3 linked regions of the Drosophila melanogaster genome follow. The protein of the gene in region 1 interacts with the protein of each later gene in a pairwise test. Each region holds a gene or a part of one and is shown on either strand. Other genes may lie near its edges.

Region 1 (8,513 bases):
GCTAGACGCGCGGCAGCAGCTTCTCCTCATCGCCGCCAGGACCATGCATAGTTGGCTTCGGCGCCGACCTGGCCGGATCGTAGCCGTAGAGAAATATGGAGGCGATGACCAGGCCAGCTCCGAAGCTGAACTGCAGCGTGAGATTGAAGTCGAAGATGTATATGGAGGCCACGCACGAGATGATGATGGCCAGCGAGGTGGCGAAGCCCTTGAGAATGTTATCCGCGTACTTGACCACCACGGCAACGATCAATCCACCGCCGGCCTGCAGCAGGACCAGGTACCAGACAAACAGATCGTAGCCCTTGAAGAATCCCTGGTCGAAGATCCTACTGCCGTCGTTAACGAAACAGGTGAGCAGGCCGAAGGGAATGCTGAGCAGACTCAACTGCACATTCCGCATCCACACGGAGATCTCGGCACCCTTGAGGATCTTCTCAAAGTAGATGCCCGCGAATCCGGAGAGGAAGCAGGCGCCCAGTGCGGCCCACAGTCCGAGCATCCTGTTCTGCTCGGGAGCACCGCCAGAGGAGGCGGCCGTGGCTGCAGCTGCGGCACCACCGGCTGAGCCACTCGTCGGACCCTCCGTTTGGGCCAACTGCACCAGGACGATGCCCATCACCAGGAGCAGCAGCGCACCCCACTGCGTGTTCAGCAGCTTGCGGCGCAGAATGACAACCGCGAACATGGCCGTGGTGAGAATCTTCAGCTGGTACGTCACCTGGTAGGTGGCCGCATCCAAATGGGAGGCAGAGACGTACAGCAGATTGTTTTGAACGATATAGACCAGCGAGGGGACGCACACCTTCAGCGTGTCCATGGGATTCGCAATGATGGTCTTGTGCAGCGAGCGTACAAACTTCTGGGCATCCTTGCCCTCCTCGTTGAAGACCAGGAACAGGCACGTGATCAGTTTGGCGAACTCTGCCATGAGTACGGCTGCGAAAGAGGGCGCAAAATGGCAATCAATCAATCAAATATATGTACATATATACTAATAAGTCCAAGTATCGCTGTTCGGGTTTTCAAATAAGTCCGGTTAACTTACACACAGAGTCACCAAAGCAATAACCAAAGTTTAATGGCAAAATGTAAACCCATATGTAATTCAAGAATGCCAACCAAACCTCCTTGAGCTATCGCGGTAGAAGTTCCCCAACAGTTTTATCAAGCTATTAGGAGCTAAATGCGGAAGTGGCTGCTTATCAGTTTCTTTGGCAGCTTCACATCTACCCGAACGACCATTCCCCGCCTGCCACTGCTCCTACACCACCTTCACCTCCACCTCTTCGACTCGTTTGCTTTTACTGCTGATGTTGCTGCTTGCGTGGACAGACCCACGTCGAGGTTTCGTGGAAGTGGCTCTGGGCAACGAGGTGAATCTGCTAAGCGGTGAACCGGCTTGACCTGCTGAGCCCGACGACCTGTTGGACTTTTGGATAAGCACTCACCCGTGGAGCTGAGGAAGATGTCGCCTGGCCGGGTGCGGGCGTAGCGCATGCTGAGGCCCAGGATGGCATTCTGCAGGGTCAGCGTCAGCAGGCTGATGTACTTCAGCGTATTGGCGTTCACTGTGCGATGGGAATAGGAATACGTGACGGGGGCGGGCAGGAGCGCCATGTCAGTACCGCTGGAGTAACGCCACCGCACTAAAGGCCAAATACTCACTGTGTATGCTATTCATGGTGCTACGCTTCTAGCTCTATTGTCTCAACTCCAAAACCAAATAGAAACCGAAGGCAAACAAAACGCCGTAGTTGGGGGTACACAAAGACTCCGTTCCTGGCCAAGATCAGTTGTCGGCGGGCCGTTCCGTTTGGCAGTTCGTTCCCTTCAAGTTGGCCAGAAAAGCAGAAGAGCGCAAATGAAGACGACTCCACTGGACCGGGCGACACGTAAACAACAATCAGAGCCCGAAGCTTCTGCCAGCGGCGGCTTTTTATCGCCGCCTATGTGGTTGTTGTTGCTGCGCGCCAGGGACGTGGTCCTGGGCTTGCAACGGGGGTCATAAATGCGAAACCTTCTTAATTGAATGCAAACAAAATTTAAAAGTGCATTGTGCATTTCAGTAAAGTAAATACACCTTACATATGCTCCTGGGGGATGGATCCCCATTTTAAAGCAAGCTACGCCCATGGCGTGCAGCTTTTGTTGCTATTTTCGCAGCAGAGACCGACTTTTCGATAGTCACAGTGCTGGCATTGTGGCGGAACTCGCGAAAAAAGAAGTTGCTTGCAAAAAAAGCTAGATATACAATAATCGGGCATTGAGATTGCTTAAATTAATGTATATATTATGACTTTAAAATTAAAATTAAAATTTAACAAGAGAGCATGGGGATCGAAAGTAGAAAACAAGAAAACTCATGGACGAAATACATAAATACATATTGTGCATGCTTGTTCTACATGCACATGTATGTTAAATTTTTAAGCCCAGCGAAATTTATTTTTGCCGCACTAGGTTGGCTATTTACTCAGCTGCCGTTGAAAATACGTCATGAAAGCCAGTATATGCAGACAATTAAAATAAACATAAAACATCAAATTAAGCCAGTGAATGATGAACAACCTGTTGGCGGCACCTGATAATTGCGATGCATCAAATTTACAATACAACATTACAAATATATTGCCATTTGGGGGGATTAAATAAATTAATTTAATCAAATGCAATAAATGAAAACATTAATAATTTCCGTGTTGATTTTAAATCTTTTACTTTTTTGAGTTCATCACTAGAATTCGCTTTCGCCTGCCGCCTATCGATAACATTGCTCGGTGTGGCGATTTCGTAAATAGTTTTCTAACTGAATAATGGTAACAGTTGGCCACTTTAGTTGATAATTCATAATTGCAAAGACCAGAGACGCCAGGACACGATGAAGGAACAGCCGCTAAAGGAGATCACACAGCTCATCCACGCCATCAAAGTGGGGTAAGTCGTCGGTTGGCAGGCACTGCGATTCATTTGGTTGTTAAAGTGGCATATGTTTTGCAGGCTGGTGGAGGGATCCTACAACATAACCAACAAGACGCTGGACATCTTCAAGTACATCATCATGAGCAAGAGCTGGCAGAACGCCGAGTGAGTTGCAAGGGATGGCACACCAAGGATAACACATTAACTGATAAACAACTCCCCCTCATTTGACAGTGCTCTCATGCAGATTGTGCGCGACCAGTGTAAGATCCTGCAGGCAGCTCTGCCCCAGGAGACGGTTACCTCGAACATTGCCAGGCGGATCCTCAAGCTGACTCGCGAGGAGTTCGATCTGTTGCACGCCAAGGTGCAACACTTCGCGGACGACTCACAGGCCTCGCTGTCGCTTCACAAGCTAGTCACGCAGACCAGCGAGAGCAACGTCAGCGTAGATTACTCGGTGCCCCAGCATGGATTGCGGGAAGCGCTGCTCGACCACCTGCAGGAGGTGGAAACGGAGCTGGAGACCAGTTCGGAGAACATCTGCGTCCAGGCCGAGGAGCACATCCATTCGTCGGAGATCATCTTGACACTGGGACACTCGCGCAGCGTCGAGAATTTCCTCAAAAGGGCGATCAAAAAGCGTCAGTTTCTCACCATCATCGTAGCCGAATGTGCGCCAGCCTGCCGGGTTAGTTGGGTCTCTTTATGGGACGACAGTATTTGTGGGGTGTAAGAAAATGCTCTTATGTTGCTTAACAACTGCCTATGTCTTTTACAGGGTCACAATTTGGCCGCCAGCTTGGCCAACGAGAAGAATGTGGAGATTGTTGTGATCCCAGATGCGGCCATCTTCGCTATGATGTCGCGCGTCAACAAGGTAATAATCGGTACGCACAGCGTGCTGGCTAATGGAGGACTCAGAGCGGCGTGTGGAGCGTATACAGTGGCCCTGGCCGCCAAGCATTACTCCGTGCCGGTCATTGTACTGGCGCCCATGTACAAACTCTCACCATTGCATCTGTGCGAGCAGGACGCCTTCAATATGGTCGGCTGTGCGGAGGATGTGATACCCTACGATTCGATTCCAGCGCGCGAAGCCAAGGTATACAGTCCCATGTTCGACTACGTGCCTCCGGAACTGGTCACCCTTTTCATATCCAACACGTAAGTAGTGCGCTTATCGGCCTTTCGACTCTTTTTTATTGCATTTATTGGATTCTTTTTTTACTTAGCGGTGGCCATGCCCCCTCGTATGTGTACCGCCTCCTTACGGAACTGTATCATCCCGAAGATTTGGAGATTTGAAATCGTGTTTGTCTCGTTGTTTTAGCAATTCTACCAATAAAGTCTACAGTAAAGTAGCAAGCCCATTTCGATTTGGATTGATTTAAATGCATCAATTTCGTAGACATTTATAAACTTTAAAATTCAACAATAATTATATCGAATAAGCAATAACGGTGGATCGGTTTTCGATTTAAGAACATTACTACTTTATCTTGGGTTGATATAGTTAATTTCAGGTAGCACGTTTCTCGTAATTTCCCTGCGGCACACGATCCTCAACCTATTTTTGAATATTTTCAAGCAGCTGCGTGAAGTCGGCCAGGCTATCGGCATAGTAATCCGGCTGCGCTTCCACCGGGGCGTTCAGCATGTCCTCCTTTGTTAGGCAGCCGCTAAGTACCAGCAGGGACTGGAAGCCGCAGGCCTTGCCGAACTGCACATCCTGCACCAGTGTGTCCCCGATGAAGATGCAGCGCTTGCAATCACGAATCTCGAACATTTCGCCAAACATTTCGCCCAAAATGGGAGACGGCTTGCCCAGAAACGTGGCCTCGCGTTGCGTGTAGCGTTTAACGTGCTCCAGGAAGTCAAAGAACCCGGCCACATTGAGATTCTCCGCCAGTGGCATGATGACATCGCTGCCGCCGGCTATCAACTGGCAGTCGTCATTCTCCTGAAGGTGCCTAATGGCCTTCGCCAGCTCCACGTACGAGAGGTCCAAGTGGATGTCGAATAGCACAGCGCCCACGGGCTTTTCAATGGCCAGGTGATCCACCAGCGACGCGGCCGTCAGGTGCTCCTTGACTTGCTGAAGGAGAATGATATGAAATTTAATAGTCACACGGAAGCTCTTGAACTAAATATATTGTATATATATATTTATAAGTAATAACCTTCCCCTTACCAGCGATTCAAACTCGATGTTGTGCTTACGTAACGTTTCGTTCGCTTCGAGGGACATGAGGGAGTATACCCGCTCCCCCGGCTTGTGCTTCTTCAGGTACCGGACAATGGTCTTCACCGGATGAACGATGTCGTCCTCCTGGACGTTCTTGGCGCCGATGTGGCGAAACTTCTCCATGTAATCCTCCTCGGACCGGAAGCTGTTGTTCGACACGAACTTGATCTGCTTGCCGGCCGCTTTCAAGGCATTGACGGCGGCTCCCGTGTTGGGAATCCAGCCCACCAGGAGCCAGACGACGCCATCGCAGTCGCTGATCACCAAATCGAAGGAATCGATGAACTGCCGCTGCTCCTCGAGGCTGAGCTTCAAAATGTGTCGTGGTGGCGACATGGTAATGTTGGTTTTTTGGCTTACAGGAACGAATTGGATGCTGGTTGCGCGCGCACGGAAATTCCACAGCCGACTAACCGCCTTTGCCGGCATTTAACCTTCAATGTCAACGCATTGACATTGTTCCCCCGGTTCCTCGAACCCGAACCCAACCACCCCTCGCCCATACAACCCTATGCCTACGTACATATGTGCTAAGTATCTTTTATTACACGATTTAGCGAACCCGAGCGGAGTGGCTCGTCCGATAAGATTCCGTATGTAAATATAAGATCTTCTGTGTGGAACGCGGCATGAAAGACTCGTGCGATTTGTTGTCTATTTCACATTCCCATCTGCCGGACAGAGCGGATAGCAGTCCGGAAAATACATACATACATATGTATCTCATTTGCTTCCTAGTTCGGATTTACAATCAAGCGTACGCGTGATTATACCAAGTTTATCTTAAGGAACAACTTATAAAATGAGTCTGCTGCATTCGTCAAATTTTGGTTATTCATGCTTTTGACTGTCATTTGAATTTACCGGATATAATTTAGAACCATATAGATTATCGAACTAGTTCCACTGCCAAATGTGACTGAAATATATTGGTCTCGAAATAATTGACAGCCTTATTATTGAATTCAATTCTATGCAATCAAAGCGAAACCACAAACCCAAAATGGCTGTAAAGAAAAATTTAATTAAATTTCAAAGGCTTTTGGCATGCTATAAATATTATATGTATTTTGCGATTCACATGCTTCCTTTTCTTCCTTTCAATTGCATTTCTTACAAATCCTCTGCGATACACGTGATTGAAGGCGATTGACATACATACATATGTATGTATGTAAGTATTGATCGGTGGTGCATCGGCCTTTTGTTGCTGCTGTTGTTCGCTCAAGCTTATAACAGGCAGGCACAAACGTGTACAGTGAACACTCGAGGAAACATGTATGAGCACGCTTTCCTCAGTTCGAAAAGCAAAGGTACAGTTGACGCATGGAGAAACTAATAAGTATGATGACAATTGCGAAAGTTCAGCAGCGTAGACAACAGAATGCCTGTCGCCCTACGGAGGTCCCACTGTGCTGGGCCGTAGACCCTGGCCACACATGTCAACACCTTGACATTGATGGCTGCGGCATTTGGCCAACGGAAGCGGAGAGGGGGAAATGGAAAAGCCGCCGGAACGGAGGAAACCACAAATGGCCAATAATTCAAATTCAAATGCAACATTTCAATTGGCGGGGTCCGGAAGACGCTCGTGTCCATGTCCGCGTCCGCGGCGGTGAAGGCAAAAGAACTGGCCAACGGGGCGGGTACTTGATGTGCGAGCGCGTGTGAGTCGCGTCGCTTGGGGTTCGGCTGCGTTTTTGGTTTGGTTTGGTTTGGTTTGGTTGGTTTTGGCTGCGGCTTTTTGGTATATCGCATCACAAGTCCAAATCGATTGCCGGGCCAGCTAGTTTAGTTAGGCGTCTCCCTGATAAGATACGAAAGTACGAGTTGCGAACGCTTGCGAAGAATTCCGCCAGAAGAAAAGCACATTCGGCCACCTGAGCTTGGAGCAACTGTTCCCGGCGGTTATACAACCAGACGACAACTAGTCAAAAACTAAGGAAAATTGCCGAAAATGTCTACCCTGGCCAATGGTGGAAAGGAGGAGGATCTAAAAATTCTGGCTCAGCTGAAGAGCATCGAACAGATCAACGAGCAGCGCCGCATATTTCTCAACAGCACGATCAATGAGGAGGTGCCGGAGGCCACAAACGGATCGACGGTTCGGGAGGAGGACCTGGAGAAGAATCTGAAGGCCATAGACGAGCCGCAGTCTACGAAGATGCCCCCGGAGGAGGTGGCGAAGAAAACGCCTGATGAGGTCCCAGCCCAGGAGCAGCAGAAGGAACCCGAAAAGGTGGAGCCAGCCAAACCAGTGCCCCCCAACACGCTCACCCTGAACGTGAAATACGCCACGCTGCCAAGTCCGAATGTGGTGACCCTGCGATCCCCACTTTCGCCGCCCCCTAAGCCGCCAATGCTGGGCCGCACCCGCAGTACAGGTCCCGCCGATGGCAAGGGTCCAGCGAGCAATGGAGCTCTCTCGCCGGACAGCTCCATAATCCGTCAGAGCTTTCCCGAAGGCGTCATCACGCCCAGCAAGCCGGAAAAGAGCCCTGCCACGCCCAGCGAGGAAGGCCCGCCGACCGTCTCCGCCCGCCACTACGAGGGACTGATCGAGGAGCTGAGGTGTCCCGGCTGTGCCGGCGCCATGAAGGCGCCCATCCTTCTGTGCAAGAGTGGCCACAGTGTCTGTGAACAGTGCACCCGCATTTTGCTCATGTGCCCGCTCTGCAAGGTAAAAATTGACGTCAGCTCGCCAAAAGTGTTGTTCGGTTATCAATATCATATTGCCCCAATGTGCGCTCCTTATCTAGTGACGTGCAAATATACATTGGTATAGACTAAGGAAAAGCTACTCGCAGATTGCCATCATCGACAGGCGCAGGACAGAATGATCTCCGGTGGAGATTAGTTTATTACCCAGCCGAGGGTGTCTAATCAATTTTCAAGTGCAGCCCCACTATCTGCACTACAAGTGTGACTATAAAAAATAAGCCTTGTCTTGCACTAGGAAATGTGTGGTGCCACCAGTTCACTCTTCTAGGGCATATTTATTAGTGCCATCTTCTAAATATCCAACCGAATCTGAAATCTGCAAGAAGGAAGTCGATATTAACGTTTGCTCGGACTTTTCCATAGATAAACTTGTATGCTCGCTAACCAATGGACAAAATAAGTACATCGAAAAGCCCGTGTCATACTATCACTATGATAAGTATGATAAAGTGTATAGTTTCTTCATCATCAAGTTCTTTCCATCAATACTAGGAAATGGGGCATATGATATGGGTAACACACATCACATTCGAACTTGCACACTAAATTGTATGCCAATCCCGATGTCAATGCAAATAACTTTATGTTTCAGGAACCCTTCACCAACTCCCGATCGCTGACC
Region 2 (9,695 bases), on another chromosome or scaffold:
CTTCCCGCTGCTGCTCAATAAAGCTAATGATGAAATAAGTTGTTTTCTGGGTCACTCACCTTCTTGTAGAAGTACTCCTCCTCGCGGGCAGCCTCAAGCTTGCCGAAGGCTCCGCCGGCCTCGCGGATAGAGCCACCGCCGCCGCCTCCCTTGCCGGCGCCACTGCCTAGGTCGCCCACCTGGCTGCCGCTCATCTTGGCCAGCCTGTGGAGCGGAAAATGGCGGTGGGAACCATTAGAATCTTCTGGTTTTGTGCGGTTACGCAACAGTGGAGTGAAGTCAGCATAGACTGCACACACACACATGCGCGCAGGGTGAAAGCGATTTCGATGGGATCGGAATTGTTTATCTTATCGAACATTGAGGAAAGTGTAAGTTGGGGGCATACATAACACTTTGAATATGGCGAATGAGATATGAGTGCTCTGTTAAGTCTTGTAAGCCAATTAGCAGGTAGTTATGAACGGGGGTTAAATGTGGGTAGAAACTCACTGGACTCCAGCGGGGTACAGACGAGATGCGCTACGACGTACAACGAACATTCTGTTTGATTCTTGAGTAGTTTAGCTGCAAGAGAAGCGCAGAAAATACAATTTATTGAGAAAACTCCATTACGAAGAGTAACTGTAAAGCCGTCTCCTTAACAAAACGGAGTGCATTGAACTTTTTCGAAAACCAAGTCGCAATAAAAGAGCCGCTATTTTTAGCCAGTTCTTTGTTTGTTGTTTGTATAAAATATATACACGAATACCCAATGCACATACTAGATTTAATGCCGGAAAAGTGCGGCGCGCTTGAACATTACTTACATTTTTGCGACGACAAAAGTTTTCTGCAGAGTGACCGTAGGCGCACCCTTAAATAATACCTTCGCGGCAGAGCGAGCACAGTCGGCGTGGTCTATCGAATATGTGAGCTTGCGATTTTAATCGATAACGCTTTATACCCTTTGCATACTGCAAATAAAACTAAGCTTCTTCTGTTGTTTACTTAATCATGGTAAACTAATATTTCAATTGCAGATTTCTTACTAGCAACAAATTTAAATTCTCAATCGACTTGGACTCTAACTTGACGCTTTAACGCTTTAACTTGAGTTCTCGTCGATTGTTGCCTTAATCCAGTCGACGTAGTGCGTCACATTCGTGGCCACTTCGAAGATCCTACAGGATGCATCCCCGTAGCTGACGAGTCCGAGCAGGAAAGCCCGCTTCTTTAACCCGAAGAGCAGCTTCGCGCTCAGCGGGCCCCCGGAATCCCCACCGCAGGCATCGCTGTCCACGCCAGTGGTGCAGATTTGGGACTGGTCGACTTCGATGTTGAAGTTGCTGTTGCAACACGATTGTTCGAGCGCAAGCAAAGTGGTCTCCTGGAGAATGCGGCTGGGCTTATAGTCTGCGGTGTGACCCCAGCCAGTGAGGGTGTAGAAGTGAACCTTCTCCAAGGGTTCGGTTTTTCCCCAGAATTCTGGGGAATCAGTCAAAGCGAGGCTTCGCTGCGTATAGCGTTAAAATTTGCTGAAGATAAGCTTCGCTTATGTACATAAATACTAATGCAGATATTATTGACCCGAATGGCGTCTACGACAGAAGTCAGGGGAGCCATTAAACCACTCGAGATAATATTTTGGATTGATAATATTTTCTTAGAAAAGCCAACGAAATGTTATTATGAGTAGCTAGAGTCTAAGCTGGAAAGCTCTGCTGAAGTCTTCGATGGCGTTCACAATCCAGTCCCTGTGGTGCGTAACGTTGGTGTAAACGGAGAAGGAATGGCATGCCGCCGACCCGTAGCTGACCAGTCCGTACTGGAAGGTCAGCCAGCTGCCGGCAAAAGGAACCTGTGCGCTCAGCGGGCCTCCCGAGTCGCCGTGGCATGCATCGCTATTTGTGCCAGCAGCACAAATCTGCGACTCATCCACCTGCTTGGTGAACTTGCTTCGGCAGAAGTGGAGGTCGGTGTTGTACACAGTGGCCCTCTGGAGCCTCCGGCTGGGCGTGCCATCGTTGGTGACACCCCAGCCGGTGATGTTGAAGATGGGACTTTCCGCCATGTGTCCCTCGACCAGGAGACAGATCGGCCGGACGTAGTCTGAAAGATATGTCCACTGCTTAGGGAGCCCTGGCTGCTGGATCCACCTCATTACCTGAGTACTGGACGAAGCTCTTCATGCGCAACAGGCCGATGTCGTTGTCCAAGTTTAGGTTATAATCCGCATGCAAAATCTTTCTATCCACAGCGAGTTCATATGACTTGGGCACGCAGCAATCCTTGCCAGGAAAGCGGGTGTCATACTCGCCCAAGCGTATTCTCCTGAGTTTATATGACTTGGGCACGCAGCGCGAGCAATCCTTGCCAGGAAAGCGGGTTTTATACTCGCCCAAGCGTACTCTCCTGTGGAAATGGGAATTCGTAAGTGTTCGCCGAAAGACAGTGCTGCCTCACTTACATGTGTGTACTAACGATGCAATGGGCGGCCGTGAGAACGAAGCCTGAAAGTATTAGCAGCAGGTGACTGGACAAAGAACTCATTCGTGGGCCACATTTGAATACTTACGACTGGTGATTAGCGAGCCACCACATAGTTTCTCGCCTAGCACCTTCACCATCCATGGATTTGAGAATAGGCCTGCGTCTGCGCCCCCGGTGATCATTGGGATAAATTCTGGTTTTGTCGTGCCACAACTGGAGTCTAGCAGGTGACCAGGTGCTCCTTCACCCAACTGGATGGAGCAGACCAGAAGAGCTAATCCAGCTGCGATGAACTTCATCTTTTCGCGGTAATGGAGCGACTGGCAAGCTTAGTCGAGTTTGAGGTAATTTTTGAGGAATTTTATGTTGACCAGCTGATAACAGTACACTCTTTATGACCGTCAACGGAAACGGATATGATAGGAATCAGTGTTTTGTTTTAATGAGTGCTCTCAGTACTTTTTTATTTTTATTTTATTTACGAATCTGGGGAAATTCCAACTCACTACCAAAAATTAGACCCCTGTGATGCTTTGTCTTGCGCCAACTACTTATACAAATTTGAACTTGAATATTTTTCCTGCTTAGCTTCTCGATTAACCCTTCGAAATGCAGTTATCTGGGTAAACGAATATTCATCGCGATCAGTTGTGGAATATAATTTAATCTATTCTTTAATAAATCCAATTAAATGCTGCTAGTTATGAATTTTAATAGTAACAAGCAACTTAATTTGTGTTTCATATAACAAATCATTAGTGTGACCGAACTCAACTCATAGGTGGTGTCATAGCCGCATAATAAGACCGTATTTGGATGTTGCAGTGCACTCTCCAATAAGAATCAAGTTTAACCTCGTTTCAAATCATTTATTCGCCGATTTCACGTTGGGTCCGACACAAACAGCTCTGAAATGTTGATGCGACAATTAAGACTAAGTTACTGGCCGCCTAGTGGTGCTCGGCGTGCTCCTTGGCCTGCGATTCGGCCCATGCCTTCTTGTTCTCGGGCGAGTTGGCTGAAAATGGGCAGGAGGGAGAAGTGCATTAGTACAAGGGGCCCAGAGGTCGCGAGGCGAGTGTTACGCACCCAGCTTGCTGATCTTGTAGAACACGGGCACGCAGGCCACGGCCGCAATGAAGTAGTAGCGCCAGATCCATTGGTTCTTGATGTAGTGCTTGATGGGGAATTGGGCTATCTTCGCGGAGAAAGTGTATGGGTAGCGCATGGGGCGTCCAGCGGGTTTCTCGGCAGCAGCTTTGTCGGCCATGGTAGTCGTGGAATTCGCAGCTGTGGAGGGTCGAATTAAACGAAATCAATTTACGCAAAAATTATGTAATTTTCGGAGGCGGCAGACGAACATACGAACCTCACAAATAAAAGACAGCTATGGGAATGCCAACTCGTGCGGCGAGGAAAGCACCAAAAATGACACTGGCTGCTAGCGAGTCTGGCAAGGCCGGCCATGTGTTTACCGCGGCGAATCAAGACGGTTATCGATTCACTTACATCGCTATCAACTGGTGGACGTTTTTTTGCCATCGTGAGCAAAACTTTCGAGTTACTTTTCCCGAATAATAATATAGAATCGTAAGGTAAAGACAGCAAGCACACTGCTTAGGTGCTATAAGCCAGCATTCGTGCTTACCCATAGACGCAGGATTCAGCTTGGATCTTAATTGCACCGCCACAGGAGTCTGAACCTTTTTTAACCTTTTCACATCCTTTTTCACCTTAATTGCCATGTCTCTCTCTTTTCAAGCTTTCAAAATGGTTTTAACTAGCGAACAGGTGCCACAGGTAGCTAGCTTGCCTCTTAGTAACTAATTTGCCAAGTAGCGAGTTTCCCAAATTTAGTTTTGATTTAGCATGTCGGCCGATTTGATTTCGTATTTGATCCAAACAGTTTGATAGTTTTACATATTGTTACATCAATAACTAATTCCGTACTCCCTATCTGGACTGGGACTGACGCCCAGACTTTGAAGAGCAAGCACAAGAAGCAAAGGCAACGCAATCGACCGCGCAACAAACGAAATCGCCTGGAAGACAGCCATTCAACGACACAAGAAACATCAGCCATCGACGCCACGAGTGCAATGCCCGGAAATGCTGTGGATCCATTGGCCACGGAGAAGACTCGTGACCAGATAATGGCCGAGCGGGAGGCGAAGAAGCTGGCTAAGCAGGCCAAGAAACAGAAAACTGCACCGACTCCTACTGCCGCCACTCCTGCTGTTCTGACCACTCCCTCTGCTCCGGCCACCAAAATCATCACTGAAGTGGAGCAGACCACCATTACCACTAAGCTGACGACCACCACCACAACAAAGGTGCAGGATGCAGTGGCTTCAAAGACGACTCAGCCAGCTGCGGTAAATGGCAAGGATGCGGAGGCGGGTGAAAAGACACGCGAGCAGATCAAGGCGGAACGCGAGGCCAAGAAGGCAGCCAAGAAAGCTGGCAAAGGCGGGGGAGCCAAGGTAGAGGGCATCGCACAACAGCTCGCTGACCTGAAAGTAGCAGAAAAAGCTCCAGTCGCAGCCAGTGCTGCACCTTCGACAACAGAAGCGGACCAGGAAAAGGTAACTTGCTACATTTATGATTTCCTTGCTTCATATACATCTCACCTCACCTTGCACAGAAAAAGCCAGCTCTTAGCAAAGCGGAGCGTCGCGCTATCCAAGAAGCCCAACGGGCAGCCAAGGCCCAGGTACAGACTAAAAAGGCCCAGCATGCAGCCAAGGCACCACCCAGCGCAGCTCCCAAAGGGCCGAACCGGAAGAGCGTTTCCCCCACCACAGCGGCCACCAGCAGTTCCCCCGTCAAATGTCCAGCCAGCACGCCCAATGTAGACTGCCGGGTGAAGCTGTTCAACCATCTGGTGTGCGCCAAGGAAGACAGCCAGTTCATCAACGATCCACTCGTTCATCCGAGCATTGCGCGCTTGGGTGTTCAGTACGCCAAGCGCACGGTGGTGGGGTCCAATGCTCGATGCATTGCCTTCCTGCACGCCCTGCGCCAGGTTGTCCACGACTTTGAGACGCCCGCCAAGAAGGAGTTTGGTCGCAGCCTGGACGCCGCCGTGAAGCACCACGTAGACCACCTGCACAAGTGCCGACCGCTGGCCGTGTCCGTGTCCAATGCGTACAAACAATTCAAGAACCAACTGACACAGCTGCCGGCGGATGTTCCCGAAACGGAGGTAAGAATCAAAATATATTTTTTTAACTCAATTGGTAACATGCATTTGCTCAACAGTCGAAGGAGCTGCTCGTCCACTTCATCGATACTTACATTGAAAATCAAATCGGCAAGGCGGCCCAAGCGATCAGCGGTTTTCTGCAGGAAAAGATCACCGATGGCGACGTGCTGCTGACCTTCGCCTGTTCCTCCCTCATTCAGTTCATCTGCGAGGAGGCCAAGCGGCGCCAGGTGGCCTTCCGCGTGATTGTCGTCGATTCGCGACCCGGATGCGAAGGCCAGGAGCTGCTGCGCCGACTGCACGCCACCGGAATCCCGTGCACCTACGTGCTGATCAACGCCGTGGGCTATGTGATGGCGGAGGCCACGAAGGTGCTGCTGGGAGCACACGCCCTGCTGGCCAACGGATACGTGATGGCGCGAACGGGCACCGCCCAGGTGGCCCTGGTGGCCAATGCCCACAACGTGCCGGTGCTCGTGTGCTGCGAGACGCACAAGTTCAGCGAGCGCTTCCAGACGGACGCCATCGTCTACAACGAGCTGAGCGATCCCAACCAACTGGTGCGCGGCGACAAGTGCCAGCTAAGCAACTGGGCGGCCAAGGGAAAGCTGTTGCCGCTCAACCTGAGCTACGACATTACTCCGCCGGAGCTGGTGAGTGCCGTGGTCACCGAGGTGGCCATCCTGCCCTGCACCAGTGTTCCCGTCATACTCCGCATCAAGCCAGACATTGGCTACTAATCAGACTTCATCGATCGCTCAGTAGAACTCGCAGTTGTTGAATAAATAAGTTTTATTACACTTTGATCAAATCGACAAACAAGATTGATGCGTAGTTCATAATTTACGGGTATGCTAGTGGAATATGCTTGATGCCAGGGACCGCTGCTGCGAAGGAGGGCTAGGCCCAAGTGTCTGTACATCCGGCAGACCGCCGAGTTCCTCGGAAATTATAAATATTTTGATCAAGAGCAAGTCTGCGCTCTGACATGCAATTGTACTTTCCGTGCGGGTGGGGCTGGGATTAGCAAATATGTAGCTCTAGATTCTAATAACAAAATACAGTTTTGTGCCCGGCTTATAGACTAGGACGATGCCTGGAAGCCAATCGCTGGTGGATTGATTTGGTTTTGCTCTTTTGATTTCCATTTGCAACAACTTGAATGAGCTTCTACAAGCAGCTAAGTCTACAAATGCAACAATAAATACACACAATAAATTTAATAGCGTTTCCATATCGATTGCACACCCTAGCTCCGCTCCATTCCTCGATCCTGCCTGCCTTGCCTCTACGGGCTTTGCTTTTGCATTTGCCGGAAGCAGCCCCGGCACACCGGCACCGGCTTTCCACTGTCGTGTCCTGGCAGAGCCACGTTCTTGTCTATGCAGCGCTCGCAGAAGATGTCCCCGCAGCGCCAGCAGTGAGTCTATTCGAGGATTGGATCATCATCAGTGGCAGGCTTGCTTAAGTACGCGGAGTTACCCACCTTTTTGCTGAACTGATCGAAGGGCGTGGAGCAGGAGCAGGTGGTTACGTTGCGCATGGGCTTCCAGTCTACGGCCACGGAGTTGATCTCCTCGGGCAGCGCCTGCGGCGGACTGGATTGTTCCGCGCTCAGCGACAGACTGGCGAAGGACATGTTGCTGGCCTTCAGCGGATGATCGTCGTCGGCGGCAGACAGTTCGCTAAGCTTCTTATCGTAGTTGTATCTGCAATAAGCGGATGGATTATAAAGCATACTATAGCATAATAACTAATATCTATCATACGCACTTGTTGTCATTGATCTCGTTGCTGGAGAGCTCCTTGTTCACTTTGCCAGGGGCGCTGGTGGCGTCTTGCAGTTTCTTGGCCGACTTGGAAATGTAGTTCTTGAAGCTGGCTATGCGCTTGGTCAGATGCTGCACGTGGTCCTCCAGCGAGTTGCAGTGCTCCTTGCTATCGAGCAGCACGTCGCCCAGTGGCTCCCGCGGATGAATGCCGCTCTCGAAGCGACTGTACATGCCGCGCCAGAACCTGTGTGAGAAGCGCATAGTTTATATAGGATTTGGCTCATTCCAGAAAGTCCTCACTTGATGCACTGCGGTGCCAGGTTGGCCTTAATGGCCTCGTCTACATTTGGTTTGTACAGCGGGTTGATATACTCGTTCAGGTGATTGGCCATATAGCCCCACAGCGAGAAGGTGCGCTCGGCCAGCTTTAGGTCCAAGCGATCCTTCTCGCAGTTGCCCACGAAGGTGCCGAATTGACATGAGTGCACATGGTCGTGCAGGATGAGCAGGAACCGCTCGTTGAACTCGAAGGCCTCGCTGCGCTGCGACATTAGCTGCCAGGTACAGTCCAGGAACTGTGTGAAGATCGGCGACACCTCGCGGGCATCCGTCTGGATGTGACCGCAGCGCTCGCTGAACTTGTGCCCGAATGCCAGCCAGTCCTTCTCGATTAGCGCCTGGAAGCCCTTGATGGTTCGGTAGTAGGGGTTCAGCATCAGCTGCGCCAGTGAACAGACCTGGGCCGTGCGGTCCCAGCCGTCGGAGCAGTGGACCACCACCGAGACGCCCTTGTCCACGGCGTTGGCGATGAAGCTGCAGGGTGACACACACAGAATGTTAACAACTCAGTCCACAATGCCATTGGGAGATTCTCCTGTCTGTTGGCTCACCTCGACGTGTCCAATATGGAGCGAATGTGCTTCAGCCAGCCGGATGACTCCAGGGCATTTATGAAGGCGCTCATCGTGGGCGACTTCTGTTCGCAGGCCTCAAGCACCTTTTGCAGACTGGCACGCTGGACGTGGATGTTCTCAATGCCGAGGAAGTGGAATTTGATGTTCTCGTAGAAGGCCTCGTTCTCGTATCCCTTGCCGGCGGCTCTGTTTGCCATGGCATTAATCTGCAAATGGCGTAAATGGATTATTTGCATTTATGCTCGCCTCGGGAGATTCCCCTGTCACACTCACCCGCGGTCGCGTGTCCACCACATACATGTAGTCCGTGTTGGAATTCGTCTTGCGTATGGCCTCCAGCATCTGCTCATCCTCCAGACAGCGGGCACTGAATCCGGACAGGGGCTGACTGCAGCGGCAGATGGAAGCCTGCAGTGGTTCCCAGTTATGTAAGTTTGCTGATAATATGAGTTATGTATATCTTCGCCTAACCTTGTTGTTGTGCAGATAGGTGAGCACTGGCAGCCGCCCCTTGGAGCGGAATCGCGAGCTGCTGATGAGCATCAGCGTGGTGGCCTCCTTGGGCACGTAAATCTGACGCGGATAGGTGTCGCACAGCTCGTACTTCTCGTTCATGGAGCACAGCGTCCAGGCCTCGTTGGGCACCAGCATGTGCTTGAACTCCGCCTCCAGTTTAAAGTAATCCCAGCCAGCGTTCTTGGGGAAATCATCCTTGTTCGGCTGGTAGTTGAAGCAGTACAATTTGTTGATGGACACTGTTCGCGGGATAGGAATGTAGGCTTGTGAATGGCGGCCGCATTGTTGTGTTTGGTGGATTCTTACCCGGCTGGAAGAGTTTCAGCAGCGAAGTGTAGACATCGTGGCACTCGGAGTCCTTGGGAATGACGAAAGTTACGGAGAGGAAGGTCTTGCAGCGGATGAGTAGCGGAGATCCTGTCGTGCTCAAGGGAAGCTTCTCAATGCTGGCCACGTGCATGTGCAGGATCTGAAGAGAGCGCAAAGCGTAAATACAAGTATATAACGTCCGGTGTGGTTAATAAATCTGCAGAGAATGGGTTGCGTTGGCTTATTTCCCCCAGCTACTCGGATGATTGCTGCTTATGGTTTGCTGCCCTTTGTGAGCGAAACATCCAAGAAGCCAGCTTGCGACCGTGACTTCGCCCAAGGCTGCTCTTATGCAACGCGGGCAAAAGCAAAACTTCACTCCCCCCTTGGACACGGGAGCTACGTGCCCGAACAGAACTGCTTTCGCCACTAAATAATTGATGCGCCCCAGTGGCGGGCAATAAAAAGAAGCGGAGCTAGACAGGGGAGGGAAGAAGCAACCGGATT
Region 3 (11,940 bases), 5.0 Mb from region 1:
AATTTCAATTCTACATCATTCATATAAGAATAGATCTTTCCTTTGTTATTCATTTCTTTGTTATGACTGTGGAAACAATGACAATTTATTTTGCGATTATAGCTCCTCCCTTTTAGAGCACCTCTCACGCTATAGGACCCATTTTTTCTAGTTTATTTTTTCATAACCACTGGGTGGGTGGAGTGAAACTAACGAAAGGAAACGAACAACGGCAAAACGCCGAAAGTTTTCCTAAGCGCTTGATTGCCATTGGTCTCCTTCTATTCCGTGGGCGTGGCGTGGGGACAATGGAATGGGGGTGGAGTTGCGGGTAGTATCAAATGAATCAAAACAAGACTAATATTTTGAGAAGACGAACGCCAAGTTTATCCAGCGATTTAGCTAGAAAATTGCTTTTGCAAAATTTACTCATTTGCTTAATTTGCATGCGTGAAAATTGTCGTTCAAAATATGTTGTTTGCCCCAGTTGTTTGTTTGCCTTGCCAGTTGTGGGTGTGTGTGGGTTTTTCCCCATTCATCCAATGCAAATCTCAAGCCTCCAATTGACTGACAATCCGAACTGTCTCAATAAAGTGAAAAGCGAAATAAAAGCAGTGCCAACTCACTTTACCTGGGACAATTTGCAATCCAACGCATCTGTCGCCGGCAACATGTGGCGTCAATGATGTTCCTCTAACGTTCCCTTTCCCCTTTCCATGAGTTTTTCCATAGAATTTCCCACCCATTTCTGAATGCCACTTGACAATTGTCAACAAAGCGCACGTAAAGCGATTACAGTCTGCGTGAGTGCAGGGACATGGAAATGGAAATGGGTGTGTGGCAAATGGATCCTGCTCCTGGGATTCCTGCTCCATGGATATCTTTTGTGATACACTGTGTGTATCTGACGGATATTTGCCAAATCCGACGCCAGCGGCACTTAAGCTGCTCAAGATTGTTCGCATTGTCAGGATTGCAAGCTGGGTTTTCACGGAGGGCAGAGAAAATGCAGAAATACTTACATATGTATGTGGCCACGTGGTAATAGAGTTATAATGCCAATAAACAAATGTATGAAATGTATAAAAACTTAAATAAATATTGAATATTTACAAGGTGTTTCACTTGAAAAAATTCAAAATCTTTTTAAAAGACACCCCCCACCAAACAGAAAATAAAATTTTAATTTAATTTATGCAAAAGTCCAACGAAAAAAGTTTTAAATATCCCGCCCACTAATTCATTAGCCGCTGCCCCCCAAAAAGCATATTTTACCCGCTTTTGGGCCAAAAAGGAAAAGGAATCTTTTTTTTGTTGGCCTGAGCCCAAAATCAAACCCACAAAAAGCTCTCGCGCGTTTGCCTTGATTGTCCTTGATGGATGGATGAAATGGATGGATGATGGACGTTCCACCAACCGCGCGAACCACTCATAATGGAGAATGGAGGGTGGTAATGCGGCGCTAAAAGCAAATGACAATCAGCGGAGGGAGCGGCAAACATTTAACAAAAAGACAAGAAACAAAGTTTAAAATCTAAAAAATTGAAACGGGCTAATGGTGGTGGGGGGTGGAGGGTGCAGGTCTAAGAACGGTGGTACATTGCAATTTACATGCAAACAAACAAATAAGCCCAGCCAGCCCAGAAAACCACCCACCACCACTCAACGTATGGCCTTCCCTTTCGCACCGCTTTGTTTGCTTTCACCACCCAACCACCTCAAACCTTCTCTGTCTGTCTCTCCGTCTGTATATGTGCGTGTATGTTCGCTCAACATTTCAATCAACGCTCGAGTGAAATGTGAAAAAAAAATCATAATAAAAGCAAGGATAATATGGCAAGCGAGTGGTTTGGCGGATGGGTGGAGCGTTGAAAGTGGTGCCGCCGCCCAAGCGGAAATGGATGCGCATCACAAAAGTGGCACAAATTGTGTGGCATGTGTGAGACGTTGCATGCGGCTATAAAAGAGAGGAAGATATAGTGTCTTTAAATTGTTAAAAGCACGCAACATGTCCCTCGAAAATAACTATAAATTTAATTTTATATTTAATTTATGTAGGAATCAGCATCACTTCAAACTTTCATCGATCAACACAATATCGAAATGCAACTCTGCATTTCAAACATATTATGATCTACCTATTTAAATCACACTTTATTCATCAGCGTACCTTGATCATACTTTTCATTTTCTGATATGCTGAACATTTTCGAAATTCCACATCTTTTGACCGCCCCAACTTGCAACTTATTCGAGGGGCTTCCCCACTGCAACAGCCGCTGTTACACGCTATAAAACCAGGTCCCTTTTCCGAACGGATTGCCATAACAACCGTTAACCGAGTTGTATTCAAAATCTCGAGCTGAGTCGAGTCCAAACAAAAATTAAAAAAAAAAAAGGTGGAAGGGAAATGCGACGACCAGAACCAAATCCAAAGTGTAAACATTCACAGCCTCCGTTGGGTGAGGGAAAAATGGATTTGGTGTGGGTTTTTGGTGGGTGATGGCGGGGAATGCTAGACAATGCCGAATGCCAAACGCCCATACCCAAACTCCCTGGACAGAAACAGCTTCCTTCCGTGCTGACGTTTGATGTGCAGCCATGGGAGCTTTTCTTTTTTTTTTTTTTTTTAATACTGCGAGTGGGTGGCAAACACGCAACCAACGTGTGGCAACAGCTAACAACTAGTGCAAAAAAGGACGAGCCAAAAAATGCGGTATTTATTTCAAACAAGCTCAGCCCAGCAAACTGCAAAAAAAGCTACACGAGTTTTTCAAAGCTATTGCTCTGGATTCAGATTCCATTGCCGATGGCAAGTTGCAAAGATGCACAGCCGAAAAATGCTATAGCCACTGTTAAATGTTTAAATAAAATCCACATACCTTCATCATAATTATTTATGATTATTTAAGTCTTAGCACTGAGTACTAGAACAAACAAGTAACTACACACAACTATACCAATAACAGTGAAATTTTTCCAGTGATCTTCGTACACAGACACACGATGCAATTGCTTGGCAACAGCTTGTGGGGAGGTGTCGCTAATGAAGTCGCAAACAGTCGGTGGCAGCAAAAAATTAAGCAAAGAAAGCAACGCAACGCTCTACATATCCAACCGCATCCGCATGCCTTCATTGTAATAGAAATTATAAGCTTATCCTGCTCAAACCGGCCCATCACCCACCTACTCCCGCAGTTGAGCTGTCGTTTTAGCAACACGTTGCCCGTAGCCAAGGACTGCATCCATTGTTCCACTGGCAACATCCGCCAGAGATTGGTAATTGAAACCGGGGAACGTTGCCCGAGAAATGTGGAAAAAAAAAGTTCCATCACAGTAATAAATATAACACTTATTCTTGAATTTAATTCTTAGAATTTTGATTTATGATAATGCATGATATGATAATGCTTTGTGTTCCGAAGCACATAAGCCCCAGGTTGGGCGCCAAATAAGCAGTTCATTACCTAAACAAAACCATTTTAAGAAGGTCTCTTTACTTCCGTTTCCCAGTCGATCTTTAACGTGTAAAATTTGGCAAGACTGCACCAACCGGAAGCGATCAACCCATAGACCAATGAGCTTACGTCTCGCTCTAGTTTTGGTCGTCTTTTTGAAAACTTTTTACCTTTCTTCGAGGGTGGTTTCCATGAACACTTTAGCACTGTTGCTGCTGGTGATGTTGCTACTGCTACTGCCACAGTCGATGTTGCTGCTGCTGATGCGCACCACCAATGCCACAGCGACTGTGGCGCACCACCACCCACCTAGCAGCTCTGCTGGCGCTCTGCTTACGCCTCGTTTCATTTACAACAATTCATAATTTTAAAATCGCACCGAACTCGCCTCGTTCTGGTTCTGGTACTCGGTCTCTGTTTTTCTGTTTCTGTCTCGGCCTCAGGACTCGTTGGATGCTGCTCTGCTTTCCTGCTGTTGCCGCTGCTGGCACTCATTTCATTTGATTTTTAACTGTCATCGACGGCAGTTCAGACCGCTAGCAACGCGTTACCCAAGCAGTGCTTATATTATTTTATATATTTTTTTTAAGTGAAATAAGTTTTAAACAAATATATCTATCAATATAGTAATCATAGGTGAGAAAATTGATCAGCTCGCAAGATCGGATTTGAATGTGTTAAAAAAACGCGTCTATAAAAAATATTATTGTGAAAATGCAATCAATGATTATATTCCAACTTAAGAACTCCTCTTTTAATAAAACACAATTTGGACATTCTTAATAATTAACCTGATATTTTAATAAGGTTAATAATAAGCTAATAAAATCTTATATATAAGCTTCATAAGGCATTCGTTTACAATTAAACTTTTCGATCAAAGCCTAACAAACCCAAGAACTTTACTAATCTTTCTTGAAACATTTAATCCAAATGATTAGAATAAAACCAAAAATACTTTATGCACTTCAGTCAGTCTATGAACCGAAACAATCCAAGCTAAACTTCAAATTTTCATTGGAGAAATTATTTAGCCATAATTCAAACGCATCCAGGGGTTGCACTTTACTTCAACCCTTTGCAAAATCCCAGATCAATCTACACGAAGAACCTGTCAGAAAGGGTTCAACGCAAATTCGATTTTGAAAAACGTTGTGATGCATGCGTATCTCTGGCAGCGGGCAAAGTTGCAAATGAAATTTTGTCAAATTTTCAGGCAACCCAAACGGACACGAATACGGACAACATACACGGGACAGAGTTCCCCGGATGCGGGGCAGGGGTAACTGTCTGCTGTAGCCGACACACATGGACAGAAAGCCACAAGTGGCACATTATTTTAATTCGCAGTCAAACGCTGTAACGTTAACACCACAACGCCATGTCACCAACAAACCAACAAGTTCATTTGTCCCCATATGTGCGTGGATATGAGCGGGGTGGCTTAAACACAGGGCAGGAACAGGCAGGACGCTTAACGAGCAAGGGTTAAAAATGTTATTTATTAGTCATTTGAGCGATCTAGTTTGGTCATAAAAAAATTTTTTATATTTAAAATTATTAGCTAATTTCAGATTTACATTCTTAGGCAGCTACATATTTTCCAATTCTTCATCCTTTGAAACTATTTAACTAACCCGATAACAATCCACTGTTCATAAAGCCCCACATTGGGCGCCAATTACACGATACATCACGCTTTACAAAGATTACAACCGCGCCTGAATGGCACAAAATGCGAACATAGACTTCGTTCAGGGTTGCACACCAGGTGAGCACGAGGAGGGTTGCTAACCAACTCCATGGGTGGGAAGATGAACTCCAGAGTGATTTCGGAATGAAGTGGCATGGGCAACTTATCGCTGTTTGATATGCAGTAATTATGTTATAAGGTTGCCCAGCCCAAGTGCCAGTTAAGTGTACGCTTACAGGGGTTGCCCGCAATCCCAATCGGCTCTTCTATTTTCCGGTGGTGGCTTAAATTTAACATCGATGATGCGACATCAATCAGCTGGGCAGCCTTGAGTGGGTGGATCACCACCCAAGGGGAATCCAGTGGAGGGATTACTTTCTACTCTGGTTTTAATTGCCACGCTGTTTGAGAAGGGGAAAAAAAAAGAATTTCGCAAAAGTTAGTACTCAGCTTATCCCCAGACGAAAGACAAACAAAAGTCGGATGCACTTTGCGCATTAATCTCAGCTCCATATTTTTAGTTCTCGGACTTATTCTCAGCTGCAAAACTTATGCACAAACTTGGGCATGGGCCATAAAAGAAAGTTGGCCGACAGCTGCTGATTGAATATTAAAATGCTGCCAGTTGCTCCAGAGCCACCACAGCCATAACCAATTTAAAAATGAGAAGAGAAACTGGCAATTAAAGCTCTGCCCAGCATCAATCAGTGCCGGGGAAAATCAACGGAATTTCCACCGAGTACCAGATGCCGGGTTGGCCACGCCTATCACCGCCCACAACCACCGCGCCTTAATTAGCATAATCTAATTTTAACTTTGTCGCAAAAATGTCGCCCTAACCAACATTTTTACCTCTCACGAACAACGGCTGCCAAAAAATGCAAATCAACACCCGTCCGTTTGAAAATCTCCGCCTCCGAAACCCCCAATCATATATTCCTTTTGCGACGGTTGAAAACTTTATATATTTTTACAACGAAATGAAAAAACAATATAAAAATAAAAAATTCCACAAATCCAACATGGAATAACGGAAAAAACAGAAGGAATGCAAATGAATGTTCCAAGCAATCGTATAGAAGCTGATGATACCTAAAAATGCAATATATTCTATAATGAATAATTGCAAATTATGTTTTTCGTTTTCGAAAAAACCATAGAAACCATAGAAGGAAAAAATCATGAAGGATTAATTCAAAGTTCACAAACTAAGTAATGCCTTCAAATTGTTCAATTTGTGTACTCCTTGATATTACTTTCGTTTTATTATAGGGTATTCGGTAACAGGCGTCGTCTGTGGGTTGTTAAAAACTTTTTAAATGCGAAAATGAAAGAGCAACAAGGCAATGGAGTCGTGGAAATGGGGGGGGGGGGTCCTTCAATGCGTGATTCTGTACTGTTCCTGGTTAGAATTGACAGGCACACAGGCGGCACAGGATACAAGCAGCCAGGACACAGCGTCAAGTGCCTCAACAGTTTGGCAACACAACAATTGAGTTTGTCCTCCAACGTTCGCGGAAATGGAGGCGGCAATGAGGGTGGTTGGGTGTCACTGCTGTTGAAACATTTAATTTACTGGAATTTGGCGCGATGTGTGTAAGCTTATTAACAGCTTTTAAGGGATCAGCGGGGAGTTGGAGACGGAAAAAAAATTATGGGGATAACGGAGAGTGAGGGAACTTGCGCGCCTGTTTTTCTATGCAAATTTCATTTGTTTTTTGGGTGCTGGGCACAGATGTTGGCTTAATAAAGTTATAATAAAGGTAGCTTAGCTGACGGCAGCTGTGGAACAATGGATTTGATGCACATGGCAGTTATGCTATTACAATTATACGAATACAGGACTCTAAAGGTTGCGGGCTTGATGCTTAATGCTTGAACTGATTTCTAATCTACTTTTCTATCAATTACATTCCATTTGCTAACATCTTGGATTTTCAGTCAATCTTAAGACGCTTTCAAGTTCAACACCAAGTCCCTTCAGTCATTATTTAGACTTCCTTGCCAACCGAGAAAACTCACACACATTTATACATCGAGACAGATTCACTCGGAGCAAACAGAAAATTCAGATTTAATTGTCCCGTGGGTAATGGTTGGGCGGGAGCATGGAAAAGGCGGTGGAATGCCAGTCCAAGACAATGCAAATATATATCCCTATACAAATATAAATTTCAAGTGACTTCAGCCACAGAACTGAGCCAACGTCTTTTGTGTGTTCTTAACTTTTTTTCTCCAACAGCAGCAGCAATGAAGGACAGCAGTAACAGCATCTCGTCGAGCAACACAGCAGGGATGCCATGCTCAACGGGAGGAGCAGTAGCGTCAGCAGGGGTAACCACCAGCAATGCCACGCCCAGTGCGCCTAGTACGCCCACAACAGCAGCAGCAGCAGCAGCAGCAGCGGCGGCAGCAGCATCTGCTGCAGATCCAACCGCAACGAATCCGCAAAATCCGCAGCAACGCAGCAAGAGCAACATCCATGAGCTAAGAAATCAGGACTACGTCAGTCGTTTAATGGCAGCCACACCACCGTATTTGTATTCCGCACCCGTGGGACCAAATAATTTCTTTTTCAGCGATATGCTGCGTTCCTTGGTGCAAGCGCGAAATAATGAGACGGCGCGTGTCTTGCAGCTGCAGCAGCAACAGCAGCAGCAGCAGCAGCAGGCACAGCAACAACAGCAGCAGCAACATCAGGCCGCCTTGGTGAGGCGGCCAAGAAAACGCTCCTGGTCGCATCGTCCATACTACGAGCAATTGCGGGAGCGACGCGATGCAGAGGAGAAGCAGCAGCAACACCAGCAGCAGCAGCAGCAGCAGCAGCAACATCAACAGCATCAGCAGCAGCAACATCAGCAACTTCAGCAGCAACTGGTGCCGGAGAAACCTCTAGAGCTGACCAATAAGGCAATGACACCCTATGGCTATGCCAAAATGGAAACCAAACCAGGTGCTATGGGTATAACACCGCCAACGCCAACGACGGCACCACCAACGGCTGGCAATAAGACTGGTGGTCTGGGTGGTGCCGTCGACACTAACCTGCAGGACAATACACCGCCGGCGGCATCGTTGCCACCACAGGATTTGGTCCTGCCGCCACCACCACCGGTTTGGTATCCACCACTTTATGCACCCTACGGCATCGATCCGTTGCACTTCTTCATCGATCTTCGCGTTTCCGGACATATATACGATAGAAAGAAGGAGAATGTCTCACCGCTTTCGAGTAGCAATAATGCACTTGCCGAAGAAGGTTCACCCGGCTCGTGTTCCAGCTCGGGCGCCACTTCCGCTTCCGGTTTGGCCAGTAATTTGCTGAGCAAACAGCGTCATGGCTCCGCCTTCACTGTACCCATACCCAAGGCGGCCCAAAACGATGCCATCAATCTGTGCGCCAATGCGGCAGGATCAAACGCCGGCGGTGGTGGTGCAGTGACCACCAGCACATTGGGCAACAAATTCGAGCACTATGCCAAATACTATGATCTGGGCGAGACTAAGGAAAATCAACCGTCCAGTACGGCTGCTAATCTTTCGGCAGCCGCTGCTGCCGCTGCTGCAGCTGCAAACTTATCGAAATCGGGCGCCAGCTATATGTTGCAACATCTGCCACGCCTTTACAGTCAGTTTGCCGCCCATCAGGCGCAGGTGCAGAGTCAGGATATCGATGCCAAGTCGGAATCGGCATCGGTTAGTGCCTCACTTTCGGCACCCGATCTTTGCGATGAAGATTCACTGGAACGAAATTCCAGTGATACGGGTGCCGGTTTGGAGGGAACGAGCGGCAATCAGGGCAATTGTGACATCGATGTGGAGATCATTGACTCCATCAAGTATCGCACGGATGGCGAGAGCAGTCGATGTTCCAGCAATGACGAGGCTTCCATCACGCAAATCGATTGAGGCTACTTATTTAAATAATACGAATAAAGTTAATGTGTCCATAATATGATCATTGTTTATTTCATTTTCTACAGAAATTGGTGGTTTTGAGAAGGTAAGTAACTTGAAGAATAAGAAGAAACAGTTACGCGCTCAATAAATGCTTATACAACAAAATGATAGAGATCTATCAAATCAACGTTTCTTTGCAAATAAACATGACAGCTTGTAACTGAAACTGTGGCCCAAGTTGAAGTTTCCCTGCCCCTAGAAATATGCAACGGTAAAAGTAATTTCATAAATCATTTCACGCCGTCGTCGTCGCCTGTTGGTTCATCTTCCACGTATTTGCTGCCTTAAGGCATTTTTTAAATGTCGTTGCACGAATTGTCGAGCTTCAGGCCCACCAACGTTGGGCGCCACATAAAAAAGGAGCCTTCATCATACCGCCACCGAGCATTACACGCCTGACTACGCTTTGTGTAAATTAAAACTGCTGCCGGCTGCTGCTGCTGACGATGACAATGCCACCCAATTCCCGCCACAGTTCTCTTGCATTCCTCGTTTTTTTTTTTTTTTTATTCTTTTTTCATTTGAGCCCCACAGGATATTAATTTTTACACCATTCATTGATTTTGTTTGCTACCCGGTTGCTTAATGAACACATTGCAATGCAAAACGGTGGGGGCGTGGCGACTTGTGCGTTCACCAGGCTCGTTTCCGTTTCCGTTTTTATTTATGTTGCTTCTTGTTTTCCCCCCCCCCCCCTTTAACATTGTTATCAAACGTATGGATTTTCATGAGTTTGCAAATTTCTGCACATTGAGGCAGAAAAAGTGCACTGAAAGCCAATCAAAGCAGCAGTAACAAAACAAAAAAGTGAATAAAAAACCAACACGAGTACAGTCTGAATCAAAAGTGTCGATAAAAATTTGCATGAACATCGCTAAGAGAGGCGGGGCCAAAAAAAGAAGAAGCAAAGTGGGGGTCTCATCATCATCATCATCATGATTGTGTAATCAAAGTAAGTAGCAAGAAGAGATAGCAGCGAAATTGAAATTCAACCTAATTGCAGGAAATTTATAACTCAACTTAACAGCTGACAGATTTTTCCCTTTTTGCTGCCGCGGGGATTTCTATGCGGTTAGAGGAGGGTCCTGTCATGAATACTTGCGTACTTTTGTTATCCTCTCGAAATTCATAAATCTTGGCAGACGCTCATAATTCATGCAACAGTCGACAATTGGCAGCGGTTTCCACTCAAGCCCGATGGGGATGATAGTGGGTGTGGGTAAGGATATACCAACCAGCAATAAGATCAACTTGCGGCTGTAAACAAAATTTTACCAATGACAATTCGGGCTAACTGGCAACGAACAAAAAAAAAAAAAAAAACAGGAAAATACTTCAAGAAAACCCGAAGAAGCGTTGAAAATCCTTTGGGCGAAGATGGGGTGGAGTTTCTTTTTTAACAAACAATGAATGCAGCATATCCCAAGGGGACAAAAGTACTTGGGCGTGTTGACAGCTTAAAGCTTTCCCCTTAATTGATAGATTTGTTTGTCTAACGCGCAAGGAAATTAAAGAAGACGTGAAAAAGAGTTATTGCATAGGGTGGAATGGGATTATTCAATGGTACTGTCTCTCGATATTATATTACTAGCTTATTTTAATTATTGTTATAAGTTGTACCTGCAACAACTAAATTAACTTTGAAAATCCGAATTTCTGATTAGGTTTAAGCCTACTTTAGGAAGAAACTGAACCCCAATCACAGAAAAACTAGTTTTTGTAATTCAAAAATTACCTAAAACCGAAACATCTGGCGCCATCTATGGATTAAGTTAGCACATGGCAAGCCGTTACAGCGAGCGCCATCTATGACTTAAGATACTGCACACGAAACCGTTACATCGAGCATTTAAAAATTTATCGACGGTCAATGCTAGCCATGTTAAATTGCCCGCATGGGTAGCACTTAATTGGCGCGCCGTTCAAAATATTTCTTTATCAATTTTCATTTGTTCCTTTTAATTTTCAGACACTAAATACATAAGTAAATTCGAGCAACTACGAACTTGGTCCCAACTTGGCAAACAAATCAAATCAGACTACCTTAAGGCAGTCTTGCTTTTACCACCAAAGAGTTTTATTTGGCCTTCGGCAAATTATCATGTTATTGTGAGTGCTCGCATTTTTTTTGTCTATTTGTTCTGCTTTTGTTGTCTTTTTTCACTTTTTTGACTTTGCTGTTGTATTAAATTCATGCTTGTAAATGAGCTCGAAATGCTGATTATATTAAGAGAGGAACGCGCTTTATTTGCTCATACATATTTATGAGAAAATTTTCCAGATAGCGATATGACTTTTTTTATTTCTTGTTTATGGTATTTATTTAGTTTATTTTCTTAATCCAAAGTTACTAATTGTGGCAGCACGCTTATTACAAATATGATGATTAAGTAACTTAAAAAATAGTAAAATAGTTTTTGTATACAATGTATTGTAGAAATATTTTTAAATGCGTATTTGATCAGCGAAAATTCCAGCAATAACTGGGGAGGGTTCAAAGTAAAAAAAAGAATACAAGAAAAGAAGATAGGCGAAAACGAAGACGCAAAATCAAAGGCAAATGTAATGTAAACGGGATCATTTTGCGTCAAAACAAAGTGGGGCTAGGTGCGAGTGGGATGGTGCTATACAGGACCAACGAGGAAGAGAGAGAATAAGCGACAAAAGTGAGAGAGAACCCCACTTGAAGAGAGAGAAAGAGCAAAGAGAGAGAATAAGAAGAAGAGCTGCCGTTATTTGTTTGACATTTATCAAAAGCAACAATAACAAGAAACTAAAACAACAAAAGCAGCGACAGTGCGGGCAAGCGAGATGGAGGTAGTCATTTGTTTGACATTTTTAAGAAACAAT

The links.
Region 2: the proteins of eIF2Bbeta (region 1) and eIF2Bdelta interact in a two-hybrid assay, tested with the Drosophila melanogaster proteins (one large-scale study listed by BioGRID).
Region 3: the proteins of eIF2Bbeta (region 1) and CG15478 interact in a two-hybrid assay, tested with the Drosophila melanogaster proteins (one large-scale study listed by BioGRID).

What each region holds. Positions count from the first base shown.
Region 1 is NC_004354.4:2,701,837-2,710,349, forward strand, and holds eIF2Bbeta (eukaryotic translation initiation factor 2B subunit beta), read left to right. Parts: upstream 1-2,734; 5' UTR 2,735-2,881; coding exon 2,882-2,937; intron 2,938-3,000; coding exon 3,001-3,087; intron 3,088-3,156; coding exon 3,157-3,613; intron 3,614-3,703; coding exon 3,704-4,089; intron 4,090-4,157; coding exon 4,158-4,230; 3' UTR 4,231-4,381; downstream 4,382-8,513. Other genes in the region: Ugalt (UDP-galactose transporter), read right to left, coding at 2-939, 1,452-1,620; CG2680 (uncharacterized protein), read right to left, coding at 4,493-5,020, 5,117-5,506; CG2681 (uncharacterized protein), read left to right, coding at 7,128-7,850, 8,484-8,513.
Region 2 is NT_033778.4:23,382,556-23,392,250, forward strand, and holds eIF2Bdelta (eukaryotic translation initiation factor 2B subunit delta), read left to right. Parts: upstream 1-3,965; 5' UTR 3,966-4,067; intron 4,068-4,234; 5' UTR 4,235-4,242; coding exon 4,243-4,272; intron 4,273-4,348; exon of another isoform or gene 4,349-4,451; coding exon 4,452-5,057; intron 5,058-5,116; coding exon 5,117-5,677; intron 5,678-5,733; coding exon 5,734-6,417; 3' UTR 6,418-6,497; downstream 6,498-9,695. Other genes in the region: CG13551 (uncharacterized protein), read right to left, coding at 60-204, 493-542; CG30414 (uncharacterized protein), read right to left, coding at 1,679-2,091, 2,147-2,394, 2,450-2,492, 2,558-2,771; roh (reduction of Rh1), read right to left, coding at 3,423-3,490, 3,562-3,742; Mtmr6 (myotubularin related protein 6), read right to left, coding at 6,966-7,103, 7,164-7,386, 7,451-7,693, 7,750-8,262, 8,340-8,569, 8,637-8,771, 8,835-9,118, 9,186-9,348.
Region 3 is NC_004354.4:7,709,924-7,721,863, reverse strand, and holds CG15478 (uncharacterized protein), read left to right. Parts: upstream 1-3,931; 5' UTR 3,932-4,073; intron 4,074-6,747; exon of another isoform or gene 6,748-6,893; intron 6,894-7,372; 5' UTR 7,373-7,380; coding exon 7,381-9,039; 3' UTR 9,040-9,081; downstream 9,082-11,940.